Linked DNA regions of Sus scrofa. The protein of the gene in region 7 purifies or fractionates together with the protein of the main gene of each other region. This does not show direct contact. Links are inferred from orthologs where the notes say so. Each region holds a gene or a part of one and is shown on either strand. Other genes may lie near its edges.

Region 1 (3,456 bases), about 52 Mb from region 7:
AATTTAAATGCCACGAAGGCTCCAAATCCTCATAGGTTTTGTGTCTGGGAAGCCAGTGGTTTAGGGCCCAGTGTGAGGTCATTTCAAAGACATGGGGTGCTCCCCGTCATTTCTCACTCAGCTCCCTTTTTCATGAGGTTTCCCTGTCCTATAAGTGTGTCATCATCTCTCTCTGGCTGTAGGAAACTCGACTTGGGAAGCTCATCAACGATGTCCGCAAGAAGACGAAGAATGAGGAGCTTGCCAAGCGGGCCAAGAAGCTGCTGCGGAGCTGGCAGAAGCTCATCGAGCCCGTGCACCAGAATGAGGCCACACTGCGGGGGCTGGCAGGCGCCACTGGCTCAGCCAATGGGGGTGCCCATAACTGTCGGCCAGAGGCAGGGGCAGCTGGCCCACCCAAGAGCATCCACGACCTGAAGAACCGCAACGACATCCAGAGGCTGCCCGGGCAGCGGCTGGACAGGCTGGGTAGCCGCAAGCGCCGGGGAGACCAGCGTGACCTTGGCCACCCTGGGCCACCTCCCAAGGTCTCCAAAGCAAGCCACGACTCCCTGGTACCCAACTTGTCCCCCCTCCCCACTAACGGGATCAGTGGGAGCCCTGAGAGCTTCCCTGGCTCCTTGGACGGCAGTGGGCATGCGGGCCCTGAGGGCAGCCGCTTGGAGCACAGCGAGAATGACAAGCACAGCGGCAAGATCCCCATCAACGCCGTGAGGCCTCACACTAGCTCCCCGGGCCTAGGCAAGCCCCCCGGGCCCTGCTTGCAGACGAAGGCTGTGCTGCTGCAGCAGCTGGACAGGGTGGACGAGACTCCCGGCCCCCCCCACCCCAAGGCACCACCTCGATGCTCTTTCAGTCCCCGGAACTCACGGCACGAGGGCTCCTTTGCCCGGCAACGGAGCCCGTACACATACAAGGGCTCGGTGCCCAGTCCCTCACAGAGGCCCCAGTCGCTTGATGCCACACAGGTGCCATCACCGCTTCCGTTGGCCCAGCCATCCACACCCCCTGTGCGGCGACTGGAGCTGCTGCCCAGTGCAGAGAGCCCGGTGCGCTGGCTAGAACAGCCTGAGGGCCACCAGCGGCTCTCAGGGCCAGGCTGCAAGGCAGGGCTGCCCCCAGCCGAGCCTCTCCTGCCCCGGGCAGGCTTCTCCCCAGACTCCTCCAAGGCAGACAGCGATGCTGCCTCCTCCGGTGGCTCGGACAGCAAAAAGAAGAAGAGGTACCGGCCTCGTGACTACACGGTTAATTTGGACGGGCAAGTGGCCGAGGCGGGCGTCAAACCTGTCCGGTTAAAAGAGCGGAAGCTCACCTTTGACCCCATGACAAGACAGATCAAACCTCTGACCCAGAAAGAGCCAGTGCGGGCCGACAGCCCTGTGCACACAGAGCAGCCCAGGACAGAGCTGGACAAACCCGAGGCCAAGGCCAACCTCCAGAGCCCTTTTGAACAGACGAACTGGAAGGAGCTGTCGCGCAACGAGATCATCCAATCGTACCTGAGCCGGCAGAGCAGCCTGCTCTCATCATCGGGTGCGCAGACCCCAGGGGCTCACCACTTCATGTCCGAGTACCTGAAGCAGGAGGAGAGCACTCGGCGTGGGGCCCGGAAGCCACACGTGCTGGTGCCTCACGGCCCACCCACGGACCTCCCTGGGCTGAGCCGAGAGGTCACACAGGACGATCTGGACAGAATCCAGGCCCACCAGTGGCCAGGGGTGAATGGGTGTCAGGACACACAGGGTAACTGGTATGACTGGACGCAGTGCATATCGCTCGACCCGCACGGCGACGACGGGCGGTTGAACATTCTGCCTTATGTCTGCTTGGACTGACCGTCCCGCGGGCTCTAAGTGCATTCCCACCTTGCAGTTAGCCGTGGAGGGTGGGGCGCCAGGACCCTGCCACCTCCAGTGGTTGGGAATCCAGGGAGTCCGGCCTGGGGCGGGAGGGAGGGGGCGAGAGTCTCTAGGTCTCTCCGTGCTCTTCCCTCAAAATTCTCCTTCTTTTGTGAAATGCTGCTACCAGTTTACTAACAAAATTGCAAAGGAAGGACCGTGTGGAAGGAAGGCCAGCAAAGTGAGTTCAGAACTCTATAGCAAACCAGCTATAAAAAGCGTTAGTTCCCCACCTCAGAAGAGGTGTGGACGCTGCCCAGCCCCCATGAGCTGGGACCTCAGTTGCAGGCAGGCAGAGAAAACCTGTGGAAGAGGTTACCTTTAACACAGCAACAGAAGCACGCATCTCATCTCTTTGCATTTTCTGTTTTTTAATGTGGCCCTGAGTGAGGCAGTGGGCAACACTGCAGCCTCTGTTTGCACCCCACCTGGCCAGCTTTTCCATCGTGGTGCCAGAAGCTTCTCAGCTATAGCAAGCTGCTGGCATCAGTCAGGCCAACTGGCCAGCAGTTTGACCCACACTCCATGGGCATCCACACATTTGTATCTCGTTTCAGTTAAAACCCAGTTTTTAAAGAAATGCTGCAAAATTTAAGTTTTCTAGAGTTTATTTTATCCCCCTTTTCCATCTCACCACCAGATGAGTAACTTTACTTTGTTCCTCCCTCTTCGTTTTCCCCTTCCTGCACAAATCTAGAAAAGTTCACCTTCCTAGAGTCCCTTCCTCCCCAAAAAAAACAAACAAAAAAAAAAAACAAAAAAAAAAACCCACAAAAGTAACCGCGGGTGCTACTGGTGTGTAAGCTGTACTGTTGGGTGAGAGGAGACCTGTCTGTACGCTGGAAACACTCATAACCATTCCTTTAGATTCGTTTGCCTTATGGTTATTTGTCATAAACGCGATTTGCAAAAACAAGGAGCCTTAGTGAATGTACAGTACCTAGACTTCTGTGTTCTCAGGATGCAGAAGGGAGCAACTTTGCTATTTGGTCCAGTAAGTGGACACCTTGTGATATAAATGTGGAAATAAAAGAAAAAAAAAAAAACATTTGCACAAACCAGTCTGAGAATTGTTTTTAATTTGGTCCTTTATAGCCATTATAGTCCTTTCTGGATTAGCCAAGTAGACATGGACCCTGAGTAGCCAGACTGTGGGGAGGAGGGCAGGGCAAAGTTGCCAAGTCAGCCTGTTAGCTTTCCACCTGGAGACTGACCCCTACCTTGCCTTTCATGCTTTCAGGGCCACGATGCTTCTCCCACATCAGGTCACCTCTTAGCTTTGGGTGACAAACTGAAGGGCCACATCTGTCTCCATCTATACCTCACCTTTCTCAGACAGAGAAGCCCCCCCCCCAGCAGGCTCTGCAATTCAAGTTTCAGTGACCTTGTCCTATCCCCTAAAATATTTGTAGTTCTTATACCACATGGTTCAAAACTCTTGTCTGGCTCCAGGCTCCAGGCTGGGCCCTGGCTCCAGGCTGCTAGCTTCCCATGCAGGCCTAGGGCTATCTTAGTATCTGGATGGGGTTGACTTAAACAAAAAAAATTTTTTTTCCCT
Region 2 (4,094 bases), on a different chromosome or scaffold from region 7:
CAGCTTTTGATTTAAAGTGAGAGATGTGCGACTCTTCCTTTCACTTGAACACTTAGAGGCCATTATGGTTTATTAATCTGCCTAATTACACTTAGAGGGCAGAGAGGAGGGAGCGAGATGGGAGGAAAGGCTGGTCAGTGCAGCAATCAGAACACTCGCAACATTTACCAATTAAGTTCACTATCTTACCAGGGCATACCCCCAAAACAATTATAATAGTAACATCAAAGATCACTAATCACAGATAATCATAACAAATAATAATTAAAAAGTTGAAATATTGTGAGAAATACCAAAACGTGACCCAGACATGAAATGAGCAAATGCTTTTACAAAAAAATGGTGCCGATAGACTGGCTCCATACAGGGCTGCCACAAACCTTTAACTTGTGAAAAAATGCAGTATCCACAAAGTGAAATAAAGCAAAGTACAACATAGTTATGCACATACTACTGTTGAGTTGTCTGCCTCCCTTAAATTACATCAGTTTCTGCTTCATGCACCTAAGGGTTCTGTTGTTGGGACAGGTGCTTCTGTCCAGTTCCCGCCAGAGAGTGCAGCTCTTCAAAAATCGAATCAAGAAAGACCTTGAGGGCAGCCGCAGTCCACCACGTCCACTCCTCCCAAAGGCTGGTCTCCAGGTGGTTCCAGTCTCCCCAGGCGGGCACCAGGGCAAGAGGGCTGGGACAGTGCGGGGAGGGTCGGAACCAAAGAAGACCCCAAAACAGGCACTCTTGGGGGATGCAGGGAACCTGGCGCCCACCAGGTTCCAAATCCCAACCGCGCTCCGCATGCTAGGACAGCAGCTCCACGAAACCCGCGTGGCATGCCGGAATTCCAAACGCCCCACTGGAACCCATGGGACAGCAGCGCACCGGTGGCGCACCCTAGGCCTTGCAGTCCCACAGGCAGCCAGCCTCAACGCCAGCGAGAGGAGTCGTGGGTCAGCGCCCCGCGTTGCATGCTGGGACCGCAGAGCCTGACGGTGTTTCTGGGACAGAGGCAAGTTGCATGCCGGGACTTCAGCCTTGTAGTCCAAAGACACCCCCAAGACTTCAGCAAATGGAGGACTGTGAGACAGCCAAGCACCGTGCATACCGATATTTTAGTTCTCAGTATACTGGATCTCAGCAGCCCAGGGGAACTGCAGGATACAGACTCTCATTGTAAGCCCCAGCCGCTGTGCCTGATGGGAACTCGTGACACAGAGGGGCGCATTGCACGCCGGGAATTGTAGTCCCACCACGACGTCCAACCTCAGCGTTTGATGGGGGGGGGGGTGCGCGTTGTATGCTGGGACCCGCGATCCCAGACGCTGGTGTTCGTGGGACGGATGGGGACTAAGAACACTGTTTCCACCGGAATCAGCCCCATAGGTGTAGTTCTAGGATGGGGCTCACTGCCCGTGGCTGGTGCAGGACCTCTAGGGCCCCGCGTGGGCGTGGTTTTTAACTCGGGTCCTCAGTGCATCCGCGCACGCACGCGGCGGCACGTGACATCGCACGCTGTCCCGGAAGTCGGCGGGGAACGGGCGGCGGGTGGGAGCCGGTGCCGGGGAGAGAATCGGTGCTCCGCAGCTGCCGCCACCTCCGCCTGGGCCTGGGTCGCCCGCCAGCCCGCGATGGGCGCCGGGCCCTGAGCGTCCGCCGCCGCTTTTCCACAGCAACTCCGCCCAGCTGCGATGGAGGCGCCGCCCGGCGGCCGCGTTCCCACCGAGGGCGCCCCGCCGCCGGCGGTGGCCGAGGTGCGCTGTCCCGGCCCCGGGCCGCTGCGCCTACTCGAGTGGAAGGTGGCGGCGGGCGCAGCCGTACGCATCGGCTCGGTGCTGGCTGTGTGCGAGGCCGCAACCTCCGCGCAGCCCGCCGGGCCCGCTCCTGCCCGCGCGAGCTCTGGGAGCTGCGTGCGTACCGAACGCAGACTGAGGTCGGAGCGCGCTGGTGTGGTTCGGGAACTGTGCGCGCAGCCGGGCCAGGTGGTGGTCCCCGGGTGAGTGGGAAGGGGAGGACGGGGCCGGGCCGGGCGGGGCGGCCGGGTTGGAAAGAGGTTCTGGGCCGGGAGAGGGAAGAAGGGCCGGGGACAGGAGGGGGTCCTGAGCTGGGAACTGGGTAGGAAAAGTCTCTGAGGCTGCAGTTGAACGGGATGCACTTGGGGAGAGCTTTAGAATGTAAGGCCCACTGTTGTGTGTCTGCATGTTTTTCTAAGGTCAGACGATAGTCACTACTTGTGACTTAATAATCAGAGGCGGCTGGGTTTTTTTTTTTTTTTTTTAAAGTTCTCAACTACCAAAATTGAATTCTTTAGAAAACGGTTGTGTTCCCTTCTTTTTTCTGTGATAGGATTGCACGTTTGTAAATTAGGAAAACATGGGTCTATAGCGAGTACAGGAGGAATCAGACATGCTCCATGCTGGTTGTCGTGGTAATAACTGTTGGGAGGTGTGCACTTCTTTAGATCCTAGTTAGACCCCGTGAAACGTTGCCTGTAATACCTAGTGTAGTTCTGCATCAAGCTTAGGAAGGGGGGTGCAGCTTTGGCACAAGTAGGTCAGTGTGCAAAGTAGTAGTACACCCTCCTACAATAGGCTTTTGCTGTGGGTACCTCTGTTTTAACCATGTAGCATGACTTTTTTTCTTCTTTGAAGTGTATGAGCTCGTCAGTTCATATTTTTCTAAGTTTACCAGTGCTGTGTGCAAAGGTGTATATACATGTGGTTGTTTTCAGGAACAGAACCTGGGGCAGGCGAGCATTCCCGACTCCTGTTGTAGTGGCTCCTGTTTACCTTACCTCTGTGGAGGCCACAGTATGCCCTGAGTGCTCCCTTTCTGCCCACTCTCATCCTGCTACTCCCCCTGTGGACTGAGTGACCTCTGGTTGTTGAGCCTCTTCTGCTCCATTCACACAGAAGCGAATGACCAGGATAGAACCACCTCCTCCCCAACCGCGGGGAGCCTCCTTCTCCATCTATGTCTCTGTCATCTTGGGAGGTAGAGCCTAGTCCTCAGCCTACTGCTCGCCTGCCAGTACCTGCCCACTGAATGCAGGCGGGGTGGCCTAGGCTGCATCCTCCACTGGAGCCATCTGCTTGGCCTCCTTTAGAAGGGAGGGGCTCGCTGTGCTGGTGTGTTTAACACACTACTATGCTGTTAGCATGGCTTTGAAGTCAAGTCTTACCTGACCATTGCTTGGGCACTAATGAGCCTGTAAATCCGTCAGCTAAATGATGAAGGTGCAGCATGATGCTGGTGTTTCACTGTGTAGAAAATCCCTGAGGGAAAGAACTCCTCTCCATGCTGTTCTGTTCCTCTGACTGCTCAGAAAAGGCCGCCAGGGCCCAGACAGGCCAGTGGCTGTCACAGCAGTTAATGAGACTTCATGTACAGTGTGTTGATCAGTCCCGCAAGTCTGAGTAACCCAATACAGTAAACTCACCAATCAGCTGAGAAAACAATCTTCTGACAAATTCCCAGCTGGGAGTAGTTTTCTGTCTTGTGTGTTTTGTGTATTTGAGATCTCAGATCTGCAGAGGTTCATCACAGGGCCTTTTGAGAATCTGAAGAGTGATAGCATTTCTCCTGGAACACAGGTGTGCGAGGTATGTGTAAAGTACCAGACCAGAGCTGGGCTCACCTAGCTGGAGTCACCCTGTCTCTGTCATTGCTGTCATCAGCAAGGCTCATCCTGACCACATCAGAGGTGGTTCTCAGGCAGTGAACGTTTCTAGAAACTTAAAAATCCTGCCTTGGGGTGGAGTTAAAATAATCACTAGATTACTCTCGGGACCTCGAACAGGATTGTATGTTTTTGTAGTACTTCATGCTGTCAGGTGGTGGTGGGGACTATCCTTGCTCCTCTGACAGAGGCAGGGGCTCTGATGTGCCGGCGTCGGCCCTGCTGAGTGAGGCTTCCCCTGGCTCCTCCGTGCTGCTCTCTCCTTGGGCCGTGTTTCATCCAAAGCACCCCAGTGTGGGAAGTGAATGGAATGAGAGTCTGTTTCTGTCTTCATAACATGTATGTGAGTTGAAATTATTTTGATTTGGGAATATTCTGACAAGGCACCATCTGCCAGAAACTAAATCTGTTAATTGTTTTCTTG
Region 3 (3,238 bases), on a different chromosome or scaffold from region 7:
AAAATGCCTTTCCCTTAGTTTCCATCAGTACCTGGGAGGGAAGAATGGGCGTTTTGGTGCAAAGAACGGAGGGCCCCTAGCGAAAGGTGGCCTGGGTCTCTTTAAGCTGTGGAAAGGGTCTCTGCTGAGAAAAGGTTCCCTAGGCCGAAAGTCTGGCCGGGGACTCCGCAAGATCATCCCACTCCGGCTGATGGCGTCTCTGTGTGAGGGACCCAAGGGAGGCCCACTGCTGCTGTTGCTGCCTCCCCCACCTCCTCCTCCATGGGCTGGGCCCAAGTGCTCCAGAGAATGGGAAGGTAGGCTGAGGCTCTCGCGTACACGGCTAAGGCCGGGGCCGTTGAGGTCCCGCTGGGTAGGGCCCCCATGGTCCCTGGGTCCTGGGAGCACCCCAAAATGATCAGCCAAGGTCCCTTGAAGGAGGGAACTATGGTCCTTGGGAAATACTGCCACAGCCCCTGCCACTCCGTGCTCTGCCAGTGGTGGGGTTGGGAAGGGTACAACCCCAGAATGGTCAACGGTAGGTGGAGGAGGAGGTGGAGTAGAAAAAGGGACACCACTCCCAGCACTGCTGCTATGTTCCCCAGGGGGTGGAGGAGGGGGTGGGGTGGGGAAAGGAACTCCGCTGTGCTCTCCAGGAGGTGGGGCAGCATGGGCCAGCGCCGCCTCCTTTGTGAAGGGGTTCGAAAGATCCACAGAGGGTAGATGAGTGGGTGCATCTCGAGAGAAGATACCACCATGATCCTTAGAAGGGGCAGGTGGGGCAGATGATGGCCCCACTGGCTCTCTCTGGAAGGGTGTCCCATGTTCCAAGGGGGACGGGGGGAGATGATGCTCAAATGTTGAGTTGAAACTGTTGGAACGAAAGCTGCCGACACTTTCCTGAAATTGGGGTGCCCGTTCCTTGTACGGTGCTGTTTTAAAGCCAGTGAGGCCTCCGCTGCCCCCACCCCCAAGGGATGCCAACTCAGAGGCACTTGAGGGACCATTGTCAAACGAGCCGCCTGAGGTGCTCAAATCAAACCAACCCACCCTTGAAGCCTCACGCCCATGTCCTCTATTTCCCTTCCCAGGAACTCGGATGGACTCTACAGTCTGTATTGGCTCCCCTGACATCCTCCTATTGGATGCATTATGATAACCCAAGGTTTCTATAGGGGCCCCCTTCTCTTCGGTACTATCAGGCAAGTCTAAGCAGGAGGAGGAGACTCGGGTTTCTATACGGTAGTGCTCTTCTTGTTGCTGATCAGTGGCTGCCAAGCTGGGCTGGGTGAGGTTTGAGAGACTGACAGCATCACTTGCAGTGCCCTTGCTGGGGGCCTGGCCAAAATGCTTATCATCTGAGGGCTTTCGTGAGGCGTTTTTAAGCATATTCTTAAACTCAATCGTCGATGTGGTGGAAATGGTGGAGGCCAGGACTTTCTCCACACCTGACGTGGGTGGGTGGCCCGTGGGAGCGGCAAGGGTATTCTGCGGAGAGAAAAGGGAACGATGTGGGACTGGGTGAGGAGAGTCTGGGTACTGCTTCTGTGGCAAACTGAGATGCCCAGTGGTAGACTGAGACAAGCTATTGTGGTTGGAGTCAGGGGTGAAAAATGAATCATTCTTACTCGGTGAAGGTGACCGGTCAGACCCAGGTTCATTCCCTCTTATGCTGAAGGCACCAAATAGCCCAGGGGAAGATGACAGACGGTCACAGTTCTCACTAGAGTCCAGAAGGGCCCTTACAGATGGAGGGAAGGCAGATTTGACCCCAAATTCTTGGGCCCTGTGGCTGTAACTGGACAGGATTGGCTGGTACTCAGTGGTATCAGAAAGCTTGCTTGATTTCAGGATAGATTTGGCCGGTTTCTTCTCTAGGTTCATCATGGCAGAGGGTGGAGGCCCTGAATACTCAAAATCTCGGTAATCTTCATCTTCCTGGAAAGAAGTATCTGGATAGAATTTCTCCTGTGAAGAGTCCATCAGGGAAGACGGTCTCTCCATCCCATCAGACGGCTGCTTATAGGGTGATTCACTGCCCAAACCAAAGGGCCGATATGTAGATAGAGAATTGGAGAGCTCTCGAGGGTAGCTTTCCTCTCTCCCAGGGGGTGGTGATCTTGTACTGCTGGGCGTTGAGGAACCAGGGCTAATGATCTTGGAAAGCAGGGACATGGTATCTACACTGCTGGATGTGGGCTTGTCCATCATCTCATCTTGGGTGGGCGTCCCACTCCGTTCATCCCGCACAGGGGTTCCATCAATGTTGTCAATTGACGTGCTAGTAGGGCCACGCTGGAAGTCTGACGGATGGCTTTCAGTTGGGGCACTGGACCCCAAACTGCTCAGGATTGGGATGTTTAGGTTTAAGCCACTGAAACCAGGATTACCTTTTAAGAAGTTGTGAATCTTCATTTCCAGGCTTGGGGAGGTGGACTCGGACTCCAGCTTTGGCTTGGAGATCTCTGAAGATTGGCACATGGCAACTTCAGTAGGTGGGGCAGCAGGGCTAGTATTGTGGGTACTTGTAAACCCCAGAGTGTTGGATGGGAGCTTGAAAGTAGTGCTTGGGAGCCCTGGGCTTTGCCCAATCGAGGCCTTGCTGGCTGAAGTTGAAGAGACTTCAGAAGTTGATGAATTAGGAGAATAGCTGAAGCCTTTGGAAATAAAGGATTGGGTATTGGAGGGCAAATTTCTTCCTTTTATGTTAGAGACTGTGGTGTTGGCGGGGGACGCTGAAGTGCTCTGGGATGCAGCTTCACTGGATGGAACTGGGTTCCCAGTAACACTCTGAAGTAAAGATGACAGGCCTATAGAAACAAAGATTAGAGGAATTAAAAAGAACAACTCTGTAGCTTACAATGAAAACAATGTAGATTAATTGGATATTCTCATTCATTCCAGTGGGAACCAGATAGACACTAAAATACTAGATCAAAGGGAATCCAGACCAAATAAGCAATGGCTAAATGTAATAGAAAACACTGGATCTATTTATTAATATATGAGAGCAAATTACTGAAATGTTTCTAGTAGTCATGAAACAGGTCCAACATGGCACAATAAAAGGCAACAGGAAGGGGGAGATTTTAGTGTCAGAATCATTCACAGTTGAAACAAGACAAAGCAGGAAAAGAAAGGGGGCAAAATTATTCTTAAAATAACACTTTAAGCCAATATTTCTAAAAGTCTGGTCTGTAGAACTGTTTCTCTAAATACAAATAGATATTCTGCCCTACGCTTCCTTTTCATCCTCCAT
Region 4 (3,500 bases), about 4.2 Mb from region 7:
GGGCTTCTCAATGAGGGAGCGGAGGCTGCTGTTGTCATGGGAACCAGGCAGATCAATCATCCCTGGCAGGTCAGGCAGGAAGTTACTTAGCTTCTCCTTCACTTTCTTCCCACAGAATTTATTATAGGAATGTTCCAGGTTGTAGTGTGTGATCAGATTAGTGCTGCCAGTCAGCTCTGTGCTGCCTAAAGGATACAGGGAGAATCAAAATTTTAAAATTAGTCCTGGGAATTCCCGTTGTGCTCAGTGGGTTAAGGACCTGAGGTTGTCTCTGTGAGAATGCCAGCTCAATCCCTGGCTTCAGTCAGTGGGTTAAGGATCTGGTGTTGTCACAAGCTGCAGAAAAGGTCACCAGTGCAGTTCTGGGTCGACCCCTGGCCTGGAACGTCCATACGTTGCAGGTACGGCTGTAAAAAGAAAGAAAAAAGTTAGTCCCAAGAGTAGAGAATTTTTTAAAAAGTCACTGTGCCAGAAGGGAAAGTAAAGGACTATAATTTAAAGTAAAATATAAAGAATCTTTTAAGTGAAAATTTTAAAAATTAAAAGTGGAGTTCCCGTCGTGGTGCAGTGGTTAATGAATCCGACTAGGAACCATGAGTTTGCGGGTTCGATCCCTAGCCTTGCTCAGTTGGTTAAGGATCCGGCGTTGTCGTGAGCTGTGGTGTAGGTTGCAGATGCGGCTCAGATCCCGAGTTGCTGTGGCTCTGGCGTAGGTCGGTGGCTATAGCTCCGATTAGACCCCTAGCCTGGGAACCTCCATATGCTGCAAGAAGTGGCCCTAGAAAAGGCAAAAAGACAAAAAAAAAAAAGTAAGTATAATATTATAGAATGGTAGGTTGGAGGCTGGAATATGAAGGAGGAAAAAATTGGCAAAAATCCACATAGGGCAGAGATGGAAACCGCTCTAACTCAATGACGAACCTCAGACTAACCAGAGCAATGACTTACATGATGCTTATACTCCATGCTAAACACTGTTCTGTTTTGGAGTTCCCGTTGTGGCAAAATGGAAATGAATCCAACTAGTATCTATGAGGACGAGGGTTCAATCCCGGGCCTTCGCTCAGTGGGTTAAGGATTGCCGTGAGCTGTGGTGTACGCTGGCAGCTGCGGCTGCAGCTCTGATTTGACTCCTAGCCTGGGAACTTCCAAATGCTGCATATGTAGCCCTAAAAAAGCAAAAAAAATTTTTTAATTTAAAAATTAAAAAAAAAAAAAAGAAAGAAATCGGGCAACTAGAATTCGAATCCTAACTGTCCTCTATACCTGTTTCCGCTTATCTATGGAACGCGGTAAAAGCTGTCTTAAAGACAATTTTTTTCAAGGTTCAAATGAAAACATATTGAAAACTTAGGTTCTGGAGTTCCCGTCGTGGCGCAGTGGTTAACGAATCTGACTGGGAACCATAGGTTGCGGGTTCGGTCCCTGCCCTTGCTCAGTGGGTTAACGATCCGGCGTTGCCGTGAGCTGTGGTGTAGGTTGCAGACGCGGCTCGGATCCTGCGTTGCTGTGGCTCTGGCATAGGCCAGTGGCTACAGCTCCAATTGGACCCCTAGCCTGGGAACCTCCATATGCCTCGGGAGCGGCCCAAGAAATAGCAAAAAGACAAAAAAAAAAAGAAAAGAAAAAGAAAGAAAGAAAGAAAACTTAGGTTCTGAACTATGAGCCCATTGAGGGCACCTAAGCCTTGCGAAGGCACTCTGTACTTTCTCTAAATTCTTTATTATATAAATGGAAGGCATTATTAGTATAAATATTTATGGCTGGCTTTTTTCAAAGAATACAAACTTAGTAATTTAACTAGGATTCAGTGGCGAGAGTTAGAAATATCTAGCCTACAATTTCATGTAGTTATTATTTTTATTATTGTTTTGCTTTTTAGGGCTGTACCTGTGGCATATGGAAGTTCTCAGGCTAGAGGTCGAATCAGAACTGCAGCTGCCAACCTATGCCACAGCCACAGCAATGCCAGATCTGAGCTGCATCTTTGACCTATAGCTCAGCTCACGGCAACACCAGAGGCTTAACCCACTGAGCAAGGCCAGGGATCAAACCCACATCCTCATGGATATTAACTGGGTTTGCAACCCACTGAACCACAATGGGCACTTCCTCATGTACAGTTGTGATGAACACTCAGGGTACAAATGACAAAAGTGACTTGTTTATAATTATTCATTTGAGAAAACCCAGGTTCTGAACTATGAGCCCACTGAGGGCAGCTAAGCCTTGAGAAAGCACTCTGTGCTTTCTCTAAATTCTTTAAGGATCCATCCAACTTTCTGTTCTGAACATCACTTCTATGAGTATGATTTATAGTAACTCCGCTCCTGAAAACTAATCTTGCGTTCCAGTATTCTCTTAGTTAATTCACTGCAGATTCCAAAAAATTTTTAAACTTCCACCTCACTCTTGGTTCCCCTATTTTAATTTATGGCACCCACATTCTCCAGATATCTTTTTTTTTTTTTTTTTTTTTTTGTCTTTTTGCCTTTTCTGGGGCCACTCCTTCGGCATATGGAGGTTCCTAGGCTAGGGGTCGAATCGGAGCTATAGCCACCGGCCTACGCCAGAGCCACAGCAACTCGGGATCCGAGCCGCATCTGCAACCTGCACCACAGCTCACGGCAACGCCAGATCCTTAACCCGCTGAGCAAGGGCAGGGATCGAACCCGCAACCTATGGTTCCCAGTCAGATTCGTTAACCACTGAGCCACGATGGGAACTCCTCCAGATATCTTTAGAAGCAGTACTCAGTTCAAAAATCTCAATGGTTTCCTATTCCCTCGGCAAAAAGCTCAAACTCCTTTAACTGGGACCCATGGTTAAACACATCTTACTGTAACTTAGCTTTGAGGCCTAACCAACACTATTCTCCCATGCAAAATTTCTGATCCACTGAAATGGGTATCCATCATCTCCTGAAGCAAAACTAAACAAAACAAAACACCCCTCATATTGTTTCCTTTTAGAAAATTTCTTTTAGGAAGATTGACCTAATTCTAGGAAAATTCTTAATTTTCTTAAACAATCTGAAGTCTTCAAAGTCCAGCTAAAGTGACAGCTTATTCTTGCTGTCATTTTGAATAAGACGGAACACATTTTGAAAACCATCATGTAGTCATGTGGTTCTTAGTAGTTTGTGAGGCATGACCAGAAAATAATGACATTGGCTCTGACAAGAAGTAATAATCACAGAGTTCCCGTCATGGTGCAGCGGAAACAAATCTGACTAGGAACCACGAGGTTGAGGGTTTGATCCTTGGCCTTGCTCAGTGGGTTAAGGATCCGGCACTGCCATGAGCTGTAGTGTAGGTCGAAGATGTGGCTCAGATATGGCATTGCTGTGGCTCTGGCCTAGGCCAGCAGCAACAGGTCTGATTAGAGCCCTAGCCTGGGAACCTCCACATGCCTCCGATGCAGCCCTAAAAGGACAAAAGACAAAAAAAAAAAGAAAGAAAGAAAGAAAGAAAGAATAATCACTACTTTATTCTTAAACC
Region 5 (3,170 bases), on a different chromosome or scaffold from region 7:
GAAAGGACAAAAGACAAAAAAAAAAAAAAGAAAAAAAGAAAAAAAAAAAAGCCTACAATCGGCTTTAGGATTTTTGTCCCTACTGCCTGTTTTCAAGGCATATCCATCTAGTGACTAACTTTTAAAAAATGCATGCGAGTCACTGACAGGCTGTCCCCTTGAACTTAGCGGAAGGGTTGGTTCTTGTTTGCTTTGAATTTAGCAGTGACGGGGGCACGGGTCTCTGGGTGGCGAGCAGTGGCTGTGAGGTGAAGCGTGTGACCCGCCTTTCAGGCGAGATGACCTGAAGGCCAGGAGTGTTTGCGAGTGTGCAGGAGAGCACACATGCTGCTGCAAAGTTCCAGCACCTGTAACTAATTTAAAATTTATGGGCGTTCCTGTCGTGGCTCAGCGGCAGCCAACCTGACTGGTATCCGTGAGGACGCAGGTTCGATCCCTGGCCTCACTCGGTGGGTTAAGGATCTGGGGTTGCCATGAGCTGTGGTGTTGGTTGCAGACCCGGCTCGGATCCAGTGTGGCTGTGGTGTAGGCCAGCAGTTCCAGCAGCTCCGATTCGACCTCCAGCCTGGGAACTTCCATATGCTGCTTCTGTGACGCTAAAAAGAATAAAAAAAGAAAAAAATAATAAAATTTATTATGTAATAATAAAATTCTGTGGAAATCAGCCTTTATGGAAACAGGTTCAAGCATCAGAAAATGAGCTAAAACTATCTCTGGCTCGTCGATAAAGTCTCCTGATCGGCCTAGAACGTCTCAAATTAGAAGAAATATGGTATTTCAGCAAATTTTGCTTGCCGTTTGTCACCTACTGTTGTAATGGCTTTTTCTTCATTCGGCAGACACTTCGGCGCGTGTTTGCCGGGCGTTCACTCTTTGAGCGAATGTTGCTTCCGTGCCGGGCCCGGGCTGGGGGTGCGGTGCTGCAGGGGGGCTCCGCGAACTGCGGGCACGCGGGGGGCGGGGGGCTGGCCGGGCAGCTGCTGCTCTGCCAAGGCCCTGCCCTGCCCTCCGCCCTTGGGGCGCACAGCCCAACGGGCTGATGTGGGAGCCCTGCGCTGGGGCGGGGGGCGGTTACGGAGGGCCACCCAGGCTGCGGCGCTAACCTCTGCCCTCTCCCTGGCAGCATGGACAAGGACGGCCCTGACGTGCACCAGGACCTGAACGCCCTCAAGACCAAGTTTCAGGAGATGCGCAAGGCCGTCAGCGCCATGCCCGGCATCCACCTGAGCCCCGAGCAGCAGCAGCAGCAGCTGCTGAGCCTCCGGGAGCAAGTCCGCACCAAGAGCCAGCTGCTGCAGAAGTACAAGAGCCTGTGCATGTTTGAGATCCCCAAGGAGTAGCCGAGGGGCCTCCCGTCTCCACCCTGGGAGGGCTCCTGTGGGCTTGCTGCGCTGCGCCTGCGCTGACCAAGGAGCCTGGCGTCCCTGGGTGGCGTGTCCCATGTGTCCGGACGCATGGGTGCCTGCAGGTGGAAGGAAGAAAGCTTCCCCAGGCCGGGTACGGGCAGGGGGCTCTGCCGTGCCTGCGGGCCCAGCTGGCAGACCCGAGGGCACAGCAGGAAGGCGGCAGCAGCCCTCTGCCCTCCTGCCCTGCCCTGAGACGGTGGCTGTTCCAGGAGCCCGTTCTGGAAACAGCAGCCTGCACAGAACTCCCTGGACAGCTGGGCCTGCGCTTGGGCGCCAGGGTTGAGACGCTAGAAGGCCCCGAAAGACTCGGCGGCGGCTTCCTGCCCTGGAGTCGTCGTCTCCTTTTGTCTGAGGCTTGGGTGCCACTATCTGTAGGACGGTGGCCCCTCTCCGGGGTCTCTGCCACTCACGCGTCCTTGCCTCTTTGTCCCATATCCCCTGCAGTCAGCTCGTTGAGCTATTTAATGCCCAAGAGTGGCAGGCCACCTCAGCCCACGTGGTCACCTCGGCTGTGGTCTCCTGGCGGGCACACCCGCTCTTCCTGCCTCTCAGAGTCCTTGTCCCCTGGTCTAGGAACGAGTTTCCCTCTGACCTCCTCTCTGAGGAGGCAGCCACCAGCCTTCACTGCAGCAAACAGGTGGACGTGCTGCGCCCTCGGAGAAGGGCAGCTCTGAGTGACAGTTCGGAAGGTCCCTGGGTGGGAGAGCCGGACCTGGAGTCGTGCAGCCGAGGCGGCTGTGAGCCTGTGTTCCTTGCAGGCGGCCGTGGCGTTCGCACGAGCAGCCTCTTCCCGCCTCGCAAAGCGGAGCCGAGAAGTGCCCCGGGTAGCGTCTACATCGAGAGAGGGGCTCAACCCCAACCCATGCCGACCCACCTGCGGGCCTGCAGATGCAGCTGATCGGCCTCTGTGGCAGCATTGTTGGTTGAAGCGGTTTTGGGCAGGGTCCACAGGGAGCGGCGTGCGCACAGGAGGTTCTGGTGTCGGTTGAAGCGGGCGTGTCCTGGTAGACGGGTCTGCGTGGGACGGTCACTAACTGAATCGCTTAGCTCCTCGGAGTTTCAGAGCAGCGGGGGGCTGGCTTTAAGGCTCTGATCAAATGCCCCGGGACCCGAAGCCCAGCGACGCTGGATGGCCCGGTCTTCCTGAGGCTACAGAGACTCGGGCTCCCCGCGTGTGGAGGGGGACGGAACCTCTCCTGTGCCCCAGTGGTGTGACTTGTGGCACTTTTCAAGAATGTGATTAAAGAACTGTGCTCTGTTGTCAGACGTCTGGGGTTTGTCCTCAGAGGTTCACGGTGAGCCGGTGCCTTTGGGCAGTTGGCCAAAAGGTTCATGTCGCTCAGAGGAGACAGACGCGTGGGGAGAACCTCCACCTGCACCTCCTCCCCCAGCCTGAACGTGGGGCACCTGTCCCCAGGGGTGTCGTTGGCCTGGTGGGTCATCCTGCCTGCAGTCAGCCCCCTGGGCCGCCCCTCGTGGCGGAGGTGGGTTCCGTCTGGCAGGGAGCTGTCTCCCAGAGCAGGGTCGAAGTCCTCCCCGGGACAGTGTGGACCCAAAGGGCCACTGAGACATCACTCCTGGCCCGCCCAGGGTCCCCACGCAGCAGTGACCTGCTCTCTGTATCAGAGAATCGGGGGCTTGCCCCAAACTCTCAGGGGCGCCAGTGCTAGACGGAGCTGGGTCCCCTCGACCCCGAGAAGGTGCTGGAGCTAGAGTGGCCAGGCCACTGACTGTGATGGTCCAGAATGCTGCGTGGCAGACCCT
Region 6 (4,011 bases), on a different chromosome or scaffold from region 7:
TCTGTGGCCCACGCCAAAGGCCAGTCAAGTTCTCCAGACTCGGGTTTCCTTCTGAGTGATGTTCACCAGGGTCTGTAATAGTGATCCTTTGCAATCTATCAATAAACAGGTTCTCCGAGCTGCTAGAATGATCCTCTACTTGACTTGAAATGTGATGCTGAGGGAGTCGCTCACTGGCTTCAGATGAGGAAGGCACAGCGGCTCTGCTGCTGGAAGGTGGGCACTTGCTCACTGAGTGTTCGGGCTCAGGGGCCTCAGCATTGCCTCCATGAGTAGGATGGACCAGGCCCCGCTGTGAGGTTGTCTGAGACGACGTGATGGTAGCTATAGAGGAGCAGCCAGGAACTAGTGATGAAGTATCAAGTATCTGGTCAGAATTCTGGGCCGTATCTGTTGCCACATCAACAACTGTACTTGCTTTTGTCCTCCACTTACAGTCTAAATTAACGGGATGAAAGAGGTCACTTCCCCCTCTAACTTCTTCATGTTCTTCAATGGCAGCTTTCAGTTTGGCGACAGAGTCTATGATCTTTCTACCTTTGTCGGGCAATTTGCAAATGAATTTTCTGGCAAAAGGAAAAGAACAGGCATATGTGAGAGAGCCCTGTTTTTAAACTTGAGATATAAAGACAAAGAATTATTCTCAAAGGGAGAAAAGCTGATCTTTAAGTAAAAAATCTGATTTCCAACTGGCCCCAATTAGGAATGAAATAAGAGAATCATTATCCAAATACTCCCCCCCCAAAAAAAAACAAGTGGCTGCATGAATAGGAAATATGCCTCATGTGTCTCATCTAATTAGAATTTCAGCAAAAGTATTTTAAGCATATGATACTCATTAAAAGACATCCCCCAAATTAGCAATTTTTAGACGTGTGATATGCAAGACCTTCCTGGGGAGGGTAGGTAGATGGACCTGCAGGGTCAAAACTATATAACACTAAGACACTCTTTGCCATTTTCATTCTCCTTTGCTTACCATCAGCACAGGAAAGGTTTGCAGAGGCCACCTCATATGTGATGATACCACTGCTCTGAGGATTAATAGAATGTGTGTACTTGTCTTTTAAAGATGCTCACTTGTAATTCCTAAGGCAATGATAAATATCAGTAGATATACCACATATAAGACAAGAGCTCTTCAGGATGCTTAAGCGTAAAAGTAGTCTGGAGAACAAAAAGTTAATTTGCCACTTACAGATTAAAAACCCATTCTCAGAGCTCCCTTCGTGGCTTAGCAGAAAGGAATCTGACTAGTATCCATGAGGACGCAGGTTTGATCCCTGGCCTCTGAGTGGGTTAAGGAACCGGCGTTACCATGAGCTGTGGTGTAGGTTGCAGACGTGGCTCGGATCTGGTGTTGCTGTAGGCCAGCAGCTACAGTTCTGTTTTGACACCTTGCTTGGAAACCTCCATATGCTATGGTGTGGCCCTTAAAAAAAAAAACAACAAAAAACCAAAAAAAAAAACCATTCTCACGAAGTCAAAATAGTTGTCTTTACTAGGAAGCTCCCAAGTGATCACTTGTCCCTTTTGCTGAGTGATAGAAGTTCCTTTTCTGATTTTCTTTTCTTTAGCCACCCAATAAATGGGGAGGGAAAGTTACATCTCATGCCCTCTACTCTTTATGACACTATATTCATGCCCCCAATTCTAACTATTAAACATCCCTCTCCAGTTAGGATGCCTCTATTTTCCCATCCTTCTTCTCTCTTAAGCCTCATGACCACTTCTCCAGTTTTTAACCTGATAGAATCAACTTCTATCAACCCAGCTCCCCTAAGTGAAATCAACCTCAGATCTACTCCCCTCCCCAACTTTTCTATTTTTATTACTAGTGCCTCCAGTACAGGCAAGAAACTTCAGCCGTCTCTGTCAACTACACATCAAATTATTCCATATCTGATGTAATTTTCCCAATCCTACAATGACCCTTATAGTTAGTTCACTTTCTTAAACCTCCTTGTCGAGAGGCTCTCTGAAAATATTCTCCTACTGTCTTCTGCCTCTTACTCCCTCAAAACTATCCTGCACAAACCTGCTAAAATAAGGTTAAAAAAAAATCATGTTCATTATATCGATCCTCTGCTAAATTCCATTAACTCTATCATCTAAATGTTAGCCAAACTTTCTTTGCCTATAAGCCATTTTTTTAATTCCCCTCTTCCCACTTCCTGTAAAAAGAGAATCTAGAGATGAAATTGACAGGATGTTTGGGGCACGACTGGGGTGGTGGGCAAAGGCAAAAAAATTTGGGATACAGACCGTCCGTTCGGAAAACCGACACAGAAGCTGAGTACGTAAAACGAGGAGGAGCACGGGAAGCCATCCCACATGCGCTCCATGCCTGGCTGGACGCGGTCAGCTCTACGGCTGTAGGCCGGCTACTCGCCCGCGGACCTCGCAAAGAGCTGACTGTGACAAGGTCACCTTCCGAGGAAAGGATCGGGGTGGGGGAGGGGAGGGGCGCGTCCCGGCTAGCCCGAACCCAAGGAGACCGGCGGTGACTCCGCGGGACCCAGGCTTACACGTTGCGCAAAAGTCTCTCCTGGCGCTTCAACGTTTCCCGCAGCTCTGCCAAACTCCGCTGACCCAAGTCCTCGGGAGGTTGGGGCTCGAAGCCGCGAGGCAGCGAGGACATTCTGCGGGAGCTGAGGCTGGCGAGGCGGCGGGCACTCGACGTCCGCGACAGCTCCCGCTGCGGGCGCCGGATCCGCGGCGGGCAGGGACTCCGGCGAATGAGCGGGAGTCGCCATTTTCCCGGAAGAACAGGGCTTCTTCTAGCCGAATCGAGCTTTATTGAAACGCCGGAAACAAACACGGACAGGGAGGAGGGGGTGGCCGGAGGGGCGGGAAGAGGCGGGAGTTGCGGTGAGACGTCACACGCCGGCCGGGCATGTTTGGCGTGGTCAGTCTGTTACCAGTTTCAGCTCTTCGCCTGTTTATTCAGAAAGTATTTGGTGAGTGCCCCGCTCCCAACTGTTAAGGTGTTTACCGCGTGGGGGAGAGGGTCAGATGCTTATCAGGTGACAGTCAAACAATATAATTGTACGATGGGCCCTGGCATCTGAGAAGTACAAGAGGAAATCTGAGTGATGAGTTACCATTGATAATGTTGGGGAATGTGCCGGATAGGGCATGGGAGGCCCCGGCCCATGGCGTGGCCCGCCTAGTCCGAGGTTCAGTGAAGTTAGCAGATATTAACGTTGGAAGAACCTTTAAGGACTACCAGCGTTTCTTAATGAGGCTCCGGCGTTTGGAGCAGGAGTCTTCTTTTGCGGCACTGAATTAGGCATTGCATATCTGGTATTTGGCTTCTGTGCATTAATTGCTTTAGCACTCCTGAGTCCTTATAACAGTACCAAACGCATCCCACCCACTACCATCCCCAGCACGCTCATACACACAATTCCAAAGGCCCGCAAGAGGTGATGGGGTGGGAGGTGCTGTACAAGCCAGTTGAGAACCTCTCACAATTCCGTATTTTCCTGCAGAAAAACAGACAAAAACTGATGTAAGTTTTCCCAGGGCATGAAACTAGTAAGTGACAACACCAGATATTAAACTCAAAAGCCCAGCTGCTCTACCACACCAGTTTGAAAATCTTCCAAACTGTAAGAAGGTGTTTTAAGCTGTTGAGGAAAGCAATGCAGTAAGCATCACATCTAGTGCTTAGCTTCTCTTAATAGTTAAGCTAGGAGGGCTGTTTCCCAAAGGAAATAGTAGGAAGCATGCTAGTCTCACAGCATACATCACTTGGGAGGTTTGAAAAACCCCATAACCTCCAACACCAGCCTCCCCCTTCTTTGATATGGAAAATTTACATTTTCTCAGTCTTTTGTAAGGTGATATGATAAACACAAGCAATTCCCTCCCAATCAGACAGAAGCTCTAAATAAAATCGGAAACTGCTTCAGGGTGCACAGTTGAAACCGTTTTTGTGTCCTTGTAATCTGGTCCATTCTGATCAGTTTTAACTAATGTATTAACATTCTCAACATAAGGCCTGCT
Region 7 (3,960 bases):
CGACGGGAACTCCTGAACTTTTTTTTTTTTTAAGGGCTGCACCTGCAGCATATGGATGTCCCCAGGCCAGGGTCCAACTGAAGCTGTAGCTGTCGGCCTACACCACAGCCACAGCAACAACAGATCTGAGCGGCGTCTACAAGCTACACCACAGCTCACAGTAACGCCGGATCCTTACCCACTGATTGAGGACAGGGATCTAACCAGAGTCCTCATGGATACCAGTCAGATTTGTTACCACTGAGCCACGATGGAAACTCTCTATTATGATCAATTTTAAACATACAAAAGTAGAAGGAAACATATAAAAAGCCACAGTTTATCCATCATCTGGCTTCAACAATCATTAATACATCGCCTGGAGTTCCCCTCCTGGCTCAGCAGAAACGCATCTAAGCATCCATGAGGACTCAGGTTTGATCCCTGGTCTCGCTCAATGTGTTAAGAATCCGCATTGCCCTGAGCTGTGGTGTAGCTAGCAGAGGGGGCTCGGATGTGGGATTGCTGTGGCTGTGGCACACGCAGTTCCATGGCTACAGCTCTGATTCGACCTCTGGCCTGGAAACCTTCATATGCCACGGGTGCAGGCCTAAAAAGACCAAAAAAAAAAAAAAAAAAAAAAAAAAGTCATTGCCAAACTTGTTTCATCTGCACCGCTGCCTTTTTTTTTTTTTCAAATATTCATTTAATTTTAAGACAATTACATTTTAATAATGGCTGTGTTTAAGAATTAGCTTGCAAAATTCCTGAAATAGTAACAGTTGGCTTTTGCAGGGGCTCCAGCACACCACTGTCAGCAGGTAAGTTTGCTCTTGCAGGGAGGCTGGCTTCAAAAAGAGGGAAGGAGAGGGGTCAGGGCTGCTGTGGTCCTGGCCTCCGTTCTCTCCAGATAAGAACAGATAGTTATTATGCTTACTCTGTGAAAGCAGTCTTCAACTGTTTGCTGAATGAATATATTCTGCTAAAGCGCTTTATTTATGACGTCTCTCATTAATTAAATCCACCGTTTGAACTTCTTGTCTAGACCTGGCCTTGCTAATTTGTGAGCGTCCTGTGCTTTTACAGAGGGTGGACTGGACGAAGGGGGAGGAGCTTCGTGGATTTCCCCGCCCACGAAAACGGGGCCCAATCAAGTCCGCAGACGAGACGTGTTCCCGCCCACCTCTCTGGGGCAGGCCCGGAAGCGGGATTGGGGAGGTTGGTGTACTTCCGGTCCTGCCGGGGGTTTTGCTGCTGCTGCTGTCGCTGTTTTAAGCCTGGCTGCTCTCGGCCTGGCTGCTGTCCAGCCTCCTCCGGGAAGATGTTCTACCATGTGAGCAGGGCCCGGGGTGGCGGCAAGGGTAGGGTCGAGAGGAGGAGCGAAGCGGAAGGCCGGGAGTAGGGGGCCGCTTCTTGCCTGGTCTCCATCCCACGTTCTCCGCAGATCTCCCTGGAGCACGAGATCCTGCTGCATCCGCGCTACTTCGGCCCCAACCTTCTTAACACCGTGAAACAAAAGCTCTTCACTGAAGTGGAGGGGACCTGCACCGGCAAGTGAGTGTCCCGCTCTCCGTGCTGCCTGAGCAGTGCGCCCTCGGCGCCCGGTGCCTTCATCCCCTCCTCAAGTCCTGAAAGTTTGTGCTGTCTACCCTGGAGAGCCCTCTCACCCACCCAGACGGCCCAGGCAGTCATTTGCTTCCTGCTTCGGGTTCCCATGATGCCCTCTGCGAAGCTGGATAACGGGACTAACTTCCCTCAGCCAAGATTGGTCATTCATTTACTTTACAAACATTTCCAAATCTCCAGCTGTGTGCCAGGCTCTGTGTTGGGCCCTGGGAATAATGCAGTGAGAAAGACAGAAGCGGCCAGCTCGAGCTCATAGTCTCTTTGGATTTTGCTGGTTTTCTTTATCCCCCACGCCCAGGGACCTGTCATGGCACATTGGGCTTCACTAAAAGTGTGTTGAATGAGGGAGTGACCAGGATAAAGCAGATTGAGAGTTAGGGGGAGGAAGGAAGAGCACTGACGTTTGACCGTCTCTTTGCTCTGCACAGAGGGACCTCTCATCTGGTGATGTAGACAAACCAGGATGAGCAGGGCCATGGAGTACTTGGGGCTCCAGCATCAGAGCAACTGGGGGTGTCTTTTGAACATACAGGTTCCTGAGCCTCATGTCATCCTTACAGCATCCCCATATCTCTGGGGACAGGCCTGGGGATATGCATTTCATATATATATATGTATGTTTTTTTTTTTTTTTTTTCTTCTTTTGCTGCACCCTTGGCATGTGGAAGTACCTGGGCTCAGTAGGTTAAGTATCTGGCATTGTCATTGTTGTGGCGTGGGTTCTATGCTTGGCCTGGGAATTTCTGAATGCCACAGGCCAAATAAATTTTAAAAAGAGATTGAGGTCTCTTGGCTCAAGGACTGCAGCCCTTTTGGACACTTATTGTGAACTTATGAGATCAGCATTTGGCTTTGTAGATGCTGGTCATTGCCCTGTCTTCTCTCTTGATCATTAAGTTCTCTGGGACCAGGAGTGCCATCTACTTGCCCTTTGTGATGCCCTTTAACCCCCAGGCTCGGTGACTCTTGTGGCAGATTTTTTTTTGTCTTTTTTTGGGGGGCTGCACCTGTGTCATAGGAGGTTCGCAGGCTGGGGAGGAATCGGCACTGTAGCGGCTGGCCTATGTCACAGCCACAGCAGCGCCGGATTTGAGCCACATCTGCAACCTACACCACAGCTCACAGCAATGCCGGCGTCCTGAACCCACTGAGTGAGGCCAGGGATTGAACCTGTGTCCTCATGGATACCAGTTAGATTCGTTTCTGCTGAGCCACAACCAGAACTCCTCTTGTGGCAGATGGTTTTAGAGGCTCTTCCACACCTTTCTCTTTCTCATCCTCCCTGCAGGTATGGCTTTGTAATTGCTGTCACCACCATTGACAATATCGGTGCTGGTGTGATCCAGCCAGGCCGAGGCTTTGTCCTTTATCCAGTTAAGTACAAGGCCATCGTTTTCCGGCCCTTTAAAGGGGAGGTCGTGGATGCTGTTGTCACTCAAGTCAACAAGGTAAGTCCATCCACAGGGCAGGTAATGGGAAGTCCTGAGAAAATCTGGGATGGGCCCCAACTCTTACTTGCTAACTCTGTGTCTTTGGCCAAATCACCTCTTTGTGCTTCAGGTGTCCTTACCTGCCAGATGGCATGGGAATCTTGTCCTGCCTCACTCAGGCAGGTGTAAAATGTAAGTCAACATTAAGAGTCAAAAGAGCAGTAGCTTCCATTGATTGAATAGATCCTGTGCACCAGGTGAAGTGCAAAGCCTCACAATGACTGTGAGGCGAGTGCTTTTACCTCCGGACTGAAGCTTGGAGAAGACTGCTGGCCAAGGTCATGTGGCCGACAAGTGTTCAGATTCCAGACAGACAGGTTCGAGGCCTCAGGTGTTGACTACTACACTCTGTTAACATAAAGTGAAAGTTTGAAAAAGGAGAGATGGGGGAAAAAATATAATTGTAATGTATACATGTAAGGATAACCTGACCCCCTTGCTGTACAGTGGGAAAATAAAAAAAAAAAAAAGAAAAAGGAGAGAAAAATGAAAACAAATGCCAAATTTCAGAGTGGTTTCAAAACATGAAGACTATTATTAGGATGCAGATAAAGACGGGATGCTCAGCAGACAATGGGGACAAAAGAAAAAACTAGGTCATTCATTTCCCTTTTAGGTCGGACTCTTCACAGAAATTGGGCCCATGTCCTGCTTCATCTCTCGACATGTAAGTCCAGGCGGGCTAGGTGGGGCTAAGGAGGAGACATTCATTCCTGACCGTCTCTTTCTTTTTTGGGCTGCACCTGGAGCACGTGGAAGTTTCCAGGTCAAGGATTGAATTGGAGCCACAGCTGTGGCAATGCTGGACCCTTAATCCATTGTGCTGGGCTGGGGATTGAACCTGCATCCCAGCAGAGACTTGAGC

Evidence for each region.
Region 1: the proteins of POLR2G (region 7) and MED26 purify together in Homo sapiens (affinity purification with mass spectrometry; 6 studies listed by BioGRID and IntAct, counting the BioPlex papers as one, with this or other methods). This does not show direct contact. The link is inferred for Sus scrofa from reciprocal best matches to the Homo sapiens genes POLR2G and MED26.
Region 2: the proteins of POLR2G (region 7) and CTDP1 purify together in Homo sapiens (affinity purification with mass spectrometry; 4 studies listed by BioGRID and IntAct, counting the BioPlex papers as one, with this or other methods). This does not show direct contact. The link is inferred for Sus scrofa from reciprocal best matches to the Homo sapiens genes POLR2G and CTDP1.
Region 3: the proteins of POLR2G (region 7) and RPRD2 purify together in Homo sapiens (affinity purification with mass spectrometry; 3 studies listed by BioGRID and IntAct, counting the BioPlex papers as one, with this or other methods). This does not show direct contact. The link is inferred for Sus scrofa from reciprocal best matches to the Homo sapiens genes POLR2G and RPRD2.
Region 4: the proteins of POLR2G (region 7) and MED19 purify together in Homo sapiens (affinity purification with mass spectrometry; 3 studies listed by BioGRID and IntAct, with this or other methods). This does not show direct contact. The link is inferred for Sus scrofa from reciprocal best matches to the Homo sapiens genes POLR2G and MED19.
Region 5: the proteins of POLR2G (region 7) and MED9 purify together in Homo sapiens (affinity purification with mass spectrometry; 3 studies listed by BioGRID and IntAct, with this or other methods). This does not show direct contact. The link is inferred for Sus scrofa from reciprocal best matches to the Homo sapiens genes POLR2G and MED9.
Region 6: the proteins of POLR2G (region 7) and POLR2M purify together in Homo sapiens (affinity purification with mass spectrometry; 4 studies listed by BioGRID and IntAct, counting the BioPlex papers as one, with this or other methods). This does not show direct contact. The link is inferred for Sus scrofa from reciprocal best matches to the Homo sapiens genes POLR2G and POLR2M.

Annotation. Positions count from the first base shown.
Region 1 is NC_010444.4:61,032,706-61,036,161, forward strand, and holds the end of MED26 (mediator of RNA polymerase II transcription subunit 26), read left to right. Parts: intron 1-182; coding exon 183-1,835; 3' UTR 1,836-2,956; downstream 2,957-3,456. UniProt on the Homo sapiens protein: Component of the Mediator complex, a coactivator involved in the regulated transcription of nearly all RNA polymerase II-dependent genes.
Region 2 is NC_010443.5:145,808,874-145,812,967, reverse strand, and holds the start of CTDP1 (RNA polymerase II subunit A C-terminal domain phosphatase), read left to right. Parts: upstream 1-1,294; 5' UTR 1,295-1,682; coding exon 1,683-1,987; intron 1,988-4,094. UniProt on the Homo sapiens protein: Processively dephosphorylates 'Ser-2' and 'Ser-5' of the heptad repeats YSPTSPS in the C-terminal domain of the largest RNA polymerase II subunit. This promotes the activity of RNA polymerase II.
Region 3 is NC_010446.5:98,644,366-98,647,603, forward strand, and holds part of RPRD2 (regulation of nuclear pre-mRNA domain-containing protein 2), read right to left. Parts: intron 2,790-3,238; coding exon 25-2,789; 3' UTR 1-24.
Region 4 is NC_010444.4:13,244,311-13,247,810, reverse strand, and holds part of MED19 (mediator of RNA polymerase II transcription subunit 19), read right to left. Parts: intron 186-3,500; coding exon 1-185. UniProt on the Homo sapiens protein: Component of the Mediator complex, a coactivator involved in the regulated transcription of nearly all RNA polymerase II-dependent genes.
Region 5 is NC_010454.4:60,924,661-60,927,830, reverse strand, and holds the end of MED9 (mediator of RNA polymerase II transcription subunit 9), read left to right. Parts: intron 1-1,123; coding exon 1,124-1,340; 3' UTR 1,341-2,670; downstream 2,671-3,170.
Region 6 is NC_010443.5:114,264,063-114,268,073, forward strand, and holds the start of POLR2M (protein GRINL1A), read right to left. Parts: upstream 2,801-4,011; 5' UTR 2,642-2,800; coding exon 2,529-2,641; intron 2,468-2,528; exon of another isoform or gene 2,346-2,467; coding exon of another isoform or gene 2,266-2,345; intron 567-2,265; coding exon 1-566.
Region 7 is NC_010444.4:9,005,832-9,009,791, reverse strand, and holds the start of POLR2G (DNA-directed RNA polymerase II subunit RPB7), read left to right. Parts: upstream 1-1,160; 5' UTR 1,161-1,300; coding exon 1,301-1,312; intron 1,313-1,423; coding exon 1,424-1,533; intron 1,534-2,893; coding exon 2,894-3,053; intron 3,054-3,711; coding exon 3,712-3,762; intron 3,763-3,960. UniProt on the Homo sapiens protein: Core component of RNA polymerase II (Pol II), a DNA-dependent RNA polymerase which synthesizes mRNA precursors and many functional non-coding RNAs using the four ribonucleoside triphosphates as substrates.